Schizosaccharomyces pombe: one gene and its partner. Changing the gene in region 1 together with any one later gene gives a genetic interaction. Each region holds a gene or a part of one and is shown in the gene's direction. Other genes may lie near its edges.

Region 1 (7,451 bases):
ACAAAAACAAAACTAACACTTTGCGTATTTTTCTTGAACCAAGCAAGAGTAAGATGCCTCCCAAAGTAAGTAGTTTTCCTAGTGAATTCGTTTATTTTTTTTTATTCAATTTACTTCATTCACATTCTTATGAATACTCATTTGCTAACAATCCTTTTAGTTCGATCCCAATGAAGTAAAGACCATCTTTATGAGAGCCGTCGGTGGTGAAGTCGCCGGTGGCTCCACCCTTGCTCCCAAGATTGGTCCCTTGGGTTTGTCCCCCAAGAAGGTTGGTGAAGATATTGCCAAGGCTACCAAAGATTGGAAGGGTCTCCGTGTGACCGTCAAGTTGACTATTCAAAACCGTCAAGCCGCTGTCTCGGTTGTTCCCTCTGCCTCTGCTTTGGTCATTAAGGCTTTGAAGGAGCCTGCTCGTGACAGAAAGAAGGACAAGAACGTCGCTCACTCTGGCAATGTCTCTCTTGACGAAATCATTGAGGTCGCCCGTACTATGCGCTTCAAGTCTCTTGCTAAGGAGCTTTCTGGTACCGTTAAGGAGATTCTCGGTACTGCCTTCTCTGTTGGTTGCACCGTTGACGGCAAGAACCCTCACGACGTTCAAAAGGAGATCGACAATGGCGAAATTGAGATCCCCCAAGAATAATCGCATACATAAGTTAATGTAAACGGATTATGTGCTTGCTTGGTAGTATACGGGTTTTGTATAAAACAGCAATGTTTAGATCTTGATGTTTTTGCTATCTTTTTATAGGGTTCAAAAAATACAGTGTTTAATATAGGTTTCTCTTGCATATCTGACATCCGGGAAAACATCCAAAATTTTGCACTGGATACTTTTAATTTAAAAGTTGTAAACGTTAAGGCGCTTGTAGTTTAATTGTGCTTTAATGATATTATTTGTTGTTGATGTCGGGTTTTTATAAATTGTATTCATGAAAATATTTCCTGGAATGGTAGAAAGAAATGTTCATACTTGATGAATGGTCCGTTTTAACACATTAAACTATGACTGTAATTACATGTGATTTTGTTTTTATTTTTGAATACTATCAACTGCTCTTGAGCTAAGATACTAAACTAATAATTGCCTGTTAAGTTCATAATCGTTGTAAGCATATAGTAAGGTAAAGCAAACGTAGCAGCAAATACCCAGTTCAATAAATGGAGTTTTTTCACTATCTACAAGTAAACTATAATAATAACTTTGTAAGGAACGAATGAATGATTTGCTCTTTCTTCAAGCTCTTTTAGTATTCTAGAAATCGGTTTAAAATGCCAATTCAAAATTACGATTAATTAAAGTAAAAAATAAATATTAAATAATCTAACTGATTACTGATTTTGATTCGTACATTTCATATAAAAGGGAGAAAGTATATCCCAACATCGTTTATAGACATTTTCTTTGAACCATCTCCTCACCATAGCACAGTAAACATTACATAGCGATACGCAAAATAGCACCACTATGTTTGACACAATCATCACTCCAATTCACTACGCTTCATTTGCGCATCCAACATGTCTCACTAAAGTTGGCTGGTTCGTACATATTCACCCTTGTCAACTGCGTATATCCCGAATTCAATAAACGTGTTATTTTGACGCGCATATACGTCTATATTCATAATGTCAGATTACAAGAGTCTTAAAGTTGCAGAACTGCGTGAAAAACTTGCGGAGAAAGGCCTCTCCACTGCTGGAAACAAAGCTGAATTGGTAAGCCGATTGACAGCAGCGACCGAGAGTAACGATGAAAATACTTCGAATAACAACGCTACAGATCTAGGAGATCTTGCTCCTCCCGAGGATGATATTGATTGGGGAGACATGGAGAATGATACTATTTCAACTGACGTTAACAAGCCAGCAGAACCCGAAAGTAAAGAGACCAGTGCTCCTGCCGCTGCTGTAGAGATTGAAAAGGAAAATGAAAGCATTATTTCGAAAGAGACTTCACAAGCTCCTGAAACTTCCACTGGTGCTGAAGAGCATCAAGAAACCACAGAGGAATCCAAACAAAGTGTATCTAATGAAGTCTCTAGCCCAGATGTAGCTAAAGAGCAAGAAAAACTCATCCAAAGGGCTAAACGATTTGGCATTCCTGTGGACGATGAACAAATTAAGAAAGCTGCTCGTGCTGCACGTTTTGGCATTCAACAACCTTTAGCGTCAAGTAATAACAAAAACCATAATCAATCTAAGAACCCTCAAAATCGTTCCAACTCACGTTCTAAACAAAGAAATAAGAATGCGCCTCCTAAAAGTGCTCCATCCAAGCGGAAGAGTAATATTTTGGACGACCCTATAGAGGCAGAAAAAGCTAGGAAGCGTGCTGAGCGCTTTGGTGTTGCTGCCAAGAATTAAAGTAACCATTTAACATATTTTAACTTCTTATTTTACAATATGACTCATGTTTCTTGAAGTTTTCTCCTCATGCCATGCTTTATTTGTATGCTTAATGCTTTTTTGATGAATTAGAACTTTTGAATTCCTATTTGTGTATATAAATTATACCCAGACTTTTGCTTCACTTTAAACAACTTATCCGAGTACAAGCATCCGATATTGGAGCCCTAAACGCTTCTAATTTCAATCCTACCTTTTAGGTGTGTTTTAAAACATCTGTGAAAACTCGGTTTTATTTTTTTAATAGCTTTTTGGGGCGTGATGTAAGTATTTCCTAGGCGAATTCTTTAATAGTTACCTATACTCATATGTTTTCCATTTTTAAAAAACTCTTCGTTCTAATCGTTTTGACATACACATTCGTTACAAAGATTTTCCACTCTGCTATCCATATGTATATATTTTGATGAGCTTATTTGTATTTAAGAAAAAGAGAAGGATTGTAATGTTTATATGATGTATCCACCTTTACTTCCAACAATGTCGAAATTCTTAATTTTTGTACATAAACTATTTTCTACAGGTTGGAATTTTATTTTTTTATTATACCTTTTTGTTTCTCAACTTCGGACTTCTTCTGTAACGTGCGACTTTACCTGTTTTGCTGTCATCGGTAAGTAAGAAAAAGTGAAAAATTTGACATTGCTGGCTGTAATGTTCTTTTGCGTTTTCTCAATTAGAGTCAATTAAAATGCCTTTTAATGGGAAAGAGTAACATCATTGTTTGTTTACATGTTGAAGTTTGTTTGTTTACAAACATGGCTTTTTAATCGACTTTTCTCAGAGCCACCTTCACCGTGTCTCAGCTACCCATTATTACAAAGTTTTGACTTTTCAACTCAACTAGTATCGCTACCTTTAAGAATATAAGAGTTGTTTCTATATCTTTTAATCCAGCCTCTATCCTGTTTACGCATCATGAATGCGAAATTATCTTCCTCCGGAATGGTACTGAAAGAGCTTCCGGAAGTCGCTTTGCAAAAGATAAGCTCAAACTACTATTGGGCTGTTTTTGCAGTGTTCCTGCTGTGCGCAATTGTCTTTCCTTTAGTATCGATATTCAGTTTGCCTCAAAAGCAGACTTACCACCGTTTCTTTTCCATCCTCAGTTTGGTTTCTTGCTTGGCCTACTTTACCATGGCCTGCAATTATGGATTGAAAAATGTGTTTTCTTCTGCTTCTTTTTTTCGAGAAGTTAGTGTACGAATGGTTTACTATGTTCGCTATATTCAATGGTTAATCAATTTCCCATTAATCATCGTAATGCTACATTGGACGGTAGGCGTATCTATACTAGAAATTGCATATGTCGTTTGCTATGTGCTTTTTGCGATTGTTTGCTTACTGGCGGCAGCATTAACTTCATCTCCCTATAAATGGGCCTATTACGGATTTTCGTTTGTAGGCTATTTTATTGCATTGGCACACTCAGTCGTTTTGCATAAAAAGTATGCTAGCCGTTTAGAGACGTCTGCGCGCCTAGGGTTTTTATGGTCAATTGTTTACTTACATGTCATTTGGTTCCTCTATTATGCATGTTGGATTTTATCTGAGGGCCTCAATGTTATCTCGCCAATTGGAGAAGCCATATTTTACAGTATATTAGATCTTTTCGAATTCGGCTTTTTTGGCGCTGCTTTTTCTTGGATGCTAGACTTGGTTGGTATTGAAAACTTTAAATCGCCTCAATCGATACCCTTAGGGGCATGCAGTCCTGCTGATGACAAGTTTTCAATGTGTCCGGACATGGAGGCACAAAACCAAGCTGATGATTTGGCCGTTGAAACTCGCATTCAAATTTCCAATTTACCTTCTTCACCTACGAAAAATAATTGCTAATAACAGTACGCATCGTTGCAGTTATCTTTGCTTAGTTATAGAAATTTACCTTCCGTTTTTTTTTTTTTTGTTTTTTAATCATTATTTGTTTCCTGAATGTTTAAAACAAACTCGAAGTTTCGCTACGAGAATTTCGTTGGCATTCTAAAACACAAACACTTTTTCGTGAAAAATTACGATTATGAAAACGAAATAATTATTATAAAAACGAAACCTTTGAACAATTATTAACGTTCATTCGCACTTGAAACGTCTAAATTTACGACGGTGAGTCATTGTTTACGTGAAAAAAGCATTATACTAGTTTTAGTTTAAGATTATTCGTAAATCATTTGCATAACTTTTACGAAACTTTACAAGGCATAGCTAATATTAATACAAAAATTTGCTGTTGAGATACAATATACGTTTAAACATTTCATAGAATAATAAATAAAAACTAAAAAAAAGAAACAAATAGTGCCCAAAATGGTAAATAGCCACTTTCAACGAATGAAGTAAGTAAAACTAGCATGAGCGATGCAAGTTTGCAAAGTGTTATGGGTATTTAAAGTCGAGCAGACTTAGAAGTATTATTTTCGTTTGGCTCACGTAAGTCTTGAATTGATATATGCTGCAACGGAGGAACTGTACGAGCACTGGGTCTAGCCGACAAACGACTAGCTTTAGAGGAAAAGCTAAAACGAGCACCTGACGTACGCGATGCATTTTCGTTTTCTTCATTCGAACTAGATTCTTGTTGAGAACGTTCGTACTCTTCCTCTTCGGCTCGGCGACGTTCCTCAGCTTCGCGTCGCATGGCCTCTGTGCCAGCGTTTTCAATGACAGCATCGGGAAGACTATCACGACCAAGCCTTTTACTTCCAATATCAGCAACATCATCAAAAGCAGGCATCAGATGCCGTGTTCCAAGGGAAAAGTCAACACGCTTTTTAGAAACACTAGCGGTATCGGAATCTGAACTACCAGGAGGAGTAGGTTCGCGGTAAGGATATGCTTTTGGGTTCTTCAGAATTCCTCCGCCAACAGTGCTGTCGCGATGATTTTCAGTACCACCACCATCATTACCACCAGATAACTTAACACCCTCCATTGAACCATTGTTGAAGTTGACATACATAGGTGAATCCTTTGATTTACCAGGGCTGTTGAAAATAGGAGATACAATATCCAATTCCTGCATATAAGTCATCAATGCACACATAAACATATTTCTTCGACGCATACGTAAAACCTCGTCTTGAAAGTTATATTTATGAAAGAATACAACACACAAAGACATGGAATAGAGATCCGGTAAATCCGTAACTTCAGTTAGTAAGTCAGGTTTATAATCACGCTTCTCTTCTTTCAAAAAATCAATAATTTTGATTCGCAGTTGTTCAATTTGCTGAAGAGTAGTTCCAAACTTCAGGTTAACGGTGACTGGGTCAGCAATGCCATCACTACGACGCATGTTCAAAATCCAAAGGGTGTTCAGCAAACTGTTTGGAGCTTGAATGACTTTTCCAGTCAATAGACGAAACTCGGTAGACATGATGGAAATTTCCTTGACCATCGCTGAAGTGACTGTGCCATTGATCATGACATCGACACGATCGCCCACATCGTAAGGATGTTTCACAAATACGAATATAATAGAACTAAGTAATTCCTGTGCGGAGCCGGAGAACAGCCAAGACAAACCTAGCAAAGTAGTTCCAGCAGAGGTAAGTACACCGCTAAAGTTACGGGCAATCAAGTATAAGAAAATAAAAAGAGTAATGACAGCCACTATAAACATGCAAATACCATCAAGCTTAGAAATGGAATCGTTCAAGTCACGAAGTGAAGCAGAAATGCTCTTACGCTCTTTTCCAATTTCCACACATGCGAGTTCAATTTCTTCACAGGTGATATCACCATTTAGATCACGATCAAAAATAGAATAACATGCCTCTAAGGTGGCATTATCCACTTCACCAGTTTCATCGGTGTATACGGGAATAAAATCATCCAGTACTAAATCGGGATTCTCAGGATTCACCAATGCCTCAAATAAGCAACGAGCTAGAGATTGACAACCGCGTGTGGTCTTTAACAAGTGTAGCACAACACTTTTAGGAGAAGAAGATTTTTCGACCTCACGATTAGTAATCTCACCAGCCACTTTGTTAACCATATCCGTAGCGAAGTTGAATGCAGAGATAGCTTTGTAAGTGGTTTTATTCAATGCATTCTGAGCAACCCGAGCAGCTGCTGCGCGCTTCTTGCCATGTTGGTGATCAGCAAACTTAAAAACATCTGCTTGAGCACGATGGATAGCATCTTTGAAATCAAAAGAACGCTGTCGCGCATATCCATACAAACGGGCGAGTTCATTAATAGCAAACTTATTGTAAAGGATTCTAGATTCATATTCACGACGGTGAAGCGACATGGCGATCAACTGCATAAGTACTTTCTCCACCAAATTCATAATTGAGGTGATGAATAAAGTGATAAGTACATTGTTGGCGCTCTGTTGCCAAGGGAGTTTTACGCGTACATGATCAGGTACACCATAATCACCAATATGACGGCGGGTCATAATGGGAAGGAAACTGACATATACAGCTAACATCCAAAGGAACAATGTAATAGGAAACTCAAGGGCAACTGCCATGCATCTCCATTTAGTAACGTTGTTACTGATGAAGGAGACGAAGAAGGCAAAGAAATAAGGAATTACTTTGGCAGCATAGCGAGCAGCCCATATAGAGAGCCATATAATTTCCCACCAGATGGCCATCCACATCAAATCAACACCTCCAACGTGTAAATGGCGCTCATATTCATGACCTAGTTCATCACGGTAAGGAGGTTGTGGGTGATAAAAGCGACCAATGAATACTGGAATCAAGAGTAAAACCCCGAGAGGAATAATGTAAATGAGCGAACGAAGGTAAAAGCTTCGCTGTTGAATAAATTTGAATATGCGACCAAAAATAGTTACAGGATGGTCCGGAGCCTTAATAGGAGCTTCAGTACCAAACGTCACTACACCAAAGTTGTCTAAATGATTCTCAGCCTCTTGAGCGGCTTCTTCATTCTCCGCAGTACGTTCATAATCGCCCGACTTTTTAGACTTGGAGGTACGCATGGATTTAGAACGATGGGAAGAAAGGCGTCGCATAGATCCGCGAACACTTCGGCCGGTAGGACGTCTTTGCAAAGACTGA
Region 2 (3,515 bases), on another chromosome or scaffold:
ATGTCACCAGGTGACCATGCCAGAGGAATATCAAGATATTCCCTTCTATTCTTGGAAGAGCGGAACTCCTCGTAAGGCATTTTCCAATCCAATTGGAACAAATAGTTCCATCCCCCAAATACAGGATAGCGAGGATTTAACTCGATCCATGTCTGGTGAGGCTCAACTCGCATATGAGATGTGGTAATGTTTCCCACCTCATCGGTATAGTAGACATCCTTGGAATTTCTAGGAAGACTATAGACGACTCGATTAATAGCAGTAGAAACTGGATTGTAAAAGTTTCCCATATACCACTTGGCACGATCGAAGTTGGACTTCAGCTTGGCAGCATGGTTTTCAAAAACCACACGCTCCGAGACTTCTAACATTTTTCGGTATTCATGCATATCAATTTGAACATAGAGATCAGCTCCGCGAGGAATAGGTACAGTATGCTCATAGCGAACATAGATTTCACCTAAATCATTGTCCTCCCCGGTGATAGTCTCACGGCTTTCGTAAACCAAAGTATTGCCAACACGATTGGGAAGTTCAGCTCCATCAATATTATACGTAGTATATGTGTCAATTTTAGCAGAAGGGAGTATAAGACGAGTGCGTTGAAGATCAGTAGTGTAGGGACTATCTAAGTAAAGGGTTGTCAGGTAAACCAAATATTGTTCTTCGTCTTGATCCACAGCTGCTGGTAAAGGACGAACACCACCGTCCAAACCTGCCTGTATTAATAAAGTACGAGATTCACCAGGTTTGACAGGAGGTTGTAAAGGAATATCATAAACATTGTTGTTAACTTTTATAGGGTTAGTTCCTTTCTTTTCTTCCTCTTTTATCGATACGGAGAGAGACAAGACACTTTCGCCAGGTGAGGTCTGCTGAAAGTAGCGATATGTATTTTGAGGCTCATCTCCTTCATTTACAATAATTAAAGAAGTGAGAGTTTTGGTATAAGTGGAGCGTAAATCAATCGTACGAATCGCGTTACTATTTCTCCATACCTGCTCAGCTAAACTGAGCCCAGATATGATGGACCACAACAATAGCTTGAGAACTAACATTTCTGAAACCCGCAACCAGTGAAACTTGGAAAGCTCAACACTGTTTTAGAATAGGTAATAAATGAATTTATTACAACCTTGAAAAACGCTGTTTACAGATAACCTTCAAGAGGCTATGCGTTTAAAGAGCGGTAATACGTTCAGGTTAGGTTTGCCAGCCCAAAAACCAACAATATGCACAACGTAGTGTGTATACACTCGTTAATATCTTTAATGACTTGGTGGACTAGTTCGGTATACACATTCCGATTAAAAAAAATTGTTAAGTAAAATTAGATATTCGAATAAATAGTAGTTTCTCCGTTAAATTAATGCTAAAATAATTATGTTCCGTTCTTGAACTTTAAAGAAAATTTTCACAAATAACCAGGCTTTTTCTCTTTGACTACTAAGATCACGAATGAAGATGACGGCGACTTGCTATTTGAGTATTGGTAGTAAAGAACGAAAGTACATGAAGATTAACCCCTACTGCTAATTATTTGTACCTTTTAAAATTTTCTATTGAGAATGCATCAAACTGAAAAACGCTTCTAACGCTTCCGTTTTGGTTCGGTAATAATAAGCTTATGAATAGGCGAGATAACATTACTTAAGGCGTCATAAAGGTTTGCTACTGGTACAATTTTTTCATCAACACTTACTCTACTCTGATATACCAGTGGTGAATTTCTGTGATTCCCATCGTCTATTGCGTATCTTTTTGGATTTTATTTATTCTAAATAAACAAAATGAGTAAGGAAGAGACCCTTTACAGTGTTAAAGTGGATCAGGAGCGTGTTCCTCTTTTCGATGAAGACTTTTATAAAGGCTTTCGTAGCGAATTATCTGTTCGTTTTACGATGGCAGCTTTGGATCCTAGAGCTAAATCAAATGATGCCGTTACAGTAAACGTGATCACTAGGCTTGAGCACCCCGAAGAAGATGGAGAAGAAAGTGACGAAGAACTTTTTCAAGAAGAAAAATTTACCCTATGCACCCTTAAAAAGGGCTCGGTTTACCAGCAACCAATTGACATTATTTTCTCTCCTGGAGAAGAAGTTTTCTTTGAACGAGTTGGTGGTGATATTCCGGTTTATTTGAGCGGAACATGCATAATTACAAACATTCCGGAGGAGGAGGATAGTAGTGACCTCGAGAATGACTTTCTTTATGGAGCAGATGAATTTAGCAGCGATGAAGAAGAAATGGATGATATTTCCGTTACATCAAGCGAAGAAGAAGAGGAAGAAAATGGTGCTCGTATAGAGGAGTTGAACAGTGACGAAGAGGATGCCGAGCAAGCAGAAGAAGAGATTTTAGAAAAGCCTGTTCCAAAGGATGAAGTTGCTGAAAAGCATTCCAAGGATAAGCTTAAAAAGGAAGAGAAAGAAAAGAAAACTGCTGTCGACGTATCAGATTCTGTGAACGGCAAAAAGAGAAAGACCGAACCCGCCGGTGAAGGAGAACAAACTGAGAAGAAATCTAAGTCTACAAAAACTTATCCTAAGCAAGTACTTGAAGGAAACGTTACGGTTCAAGATAAAGTTAAAGGTGACGGACCAGCTGCGAAGCGCAAAAAGCGCGTTTCTATGCGTTACATAGGTCGTCTTACTAACGGAAAGGTATTTGACAAAAACATTACCGGAAAGCCCTTTACTTTTAATCTTGGACTCGAGGAAGTGATAAAAGGGTGGGACGTTGGTATCGTGGGTATGCAAGTAGGTGGAGAACGTACAATTCATATTCCAGCTGCCATGGCCTATGGCTCTAAACGTCTTCCAGGTATCCCAGCCAATTCAGATTTGGTTTTTGACGTAAAGCTTTTAGCGGTTAATTAATTTTGTGTAGTTTGGTTCATAAAAAAATTATGGTTTAGTTGGGTCTGGAAATTACGGAATAGCAAATTTTTTGAATATTATTCGAATTATTTTGAGGTAAAGTAAGCACTCTAGTAGAAATATGTATGTTACTGAGACAACTAATTGGTCGCAGTAAGGTGAGGATCTTGAGCACTCTTTTAAACTGATGATAGAATTAGATGTGTGAGCAATAATGGGCATCAGAATAAATAAAACACTTTTTTTATTAGTCGTTGTCTTGAAACATGAGTGAGGGAAAGCACAATCGCTACTAGTTATCTACGGATATTTGGTGGAGCCACTAGAAAATTTTGTATTTGTGAATTTATTATATGAAGAAGGCTACTAAATACTCTTATTCCCTCAATTTTTTAATTGAGATTTCATAATTGGTTTTCGCGATATCTCTCATGTATTTTATCTACTGCAAGTTGATTTAGAATAAAAAAAGAAATTATACATAGTAGGATGCAATTAACTGGATCGATCTACCCATGGTTTACTGCGTATGCTTTATTGAAATCCACGCTGATGGAACTCATCAATTCGTTTATACCGTACAAATCTCAAACTGGAAAGGCACCAAAGTGTCTGGTTCCTTATTGGCTTTCAATT

What was found. A genetic interaction does not mean that the proteins touch.
Region 2: mutations in mug73 (region 1) and ani2 together harm fitness less than expected from each alone (positive genetic interaction), as found in Schizosaccharomyces pombe (one large-scale study listed by BioGRID).

The regions. Positions count from the first base shown.
Region 1 is NC_003421.2:620,407-627,857, reverse strand, and holds mug73 (transporter mug73), read left to right. Parts: upstream 1-3,330; coding exon 3,331-4,251; 3' UTR 4,252-4,342; downstream 4,343-7,451. Other genes in the region: rpl1202 (60S ribosomal protein uL11), read left to right, coding at 54-65, 161-646; RNA-binding protein mlo1, read left to right, coding at 1,633-2,370; msy1 (MS ion channel protein 1), read right to left, coding at 4,799-7,451. UniProt on the Schizosaccharomyces pombe protein: Has a role in meiosis.
Region 2 is NC_003424.3:4,326,647-4,330,161, reverse strand, and holds ani2 (FKBP-type peptidyl-prolyl cis-trans isomerase), read left to right. Parts: upstream 1-1,693; 5' UTR 1,694-1,790; coding exon 1,791-2,879; 3' UTR 2,880-3,015; downstream 3,016-3,515. Other genes in the region: dolichyl-diphosphooligosaccharide--protein glycosyltransferase Ost1, read right to left, coding at 1-1,058; SPOM_SPAC27F1.10 (uncharacterized protein), read left to right, coding at 3,369-3,515.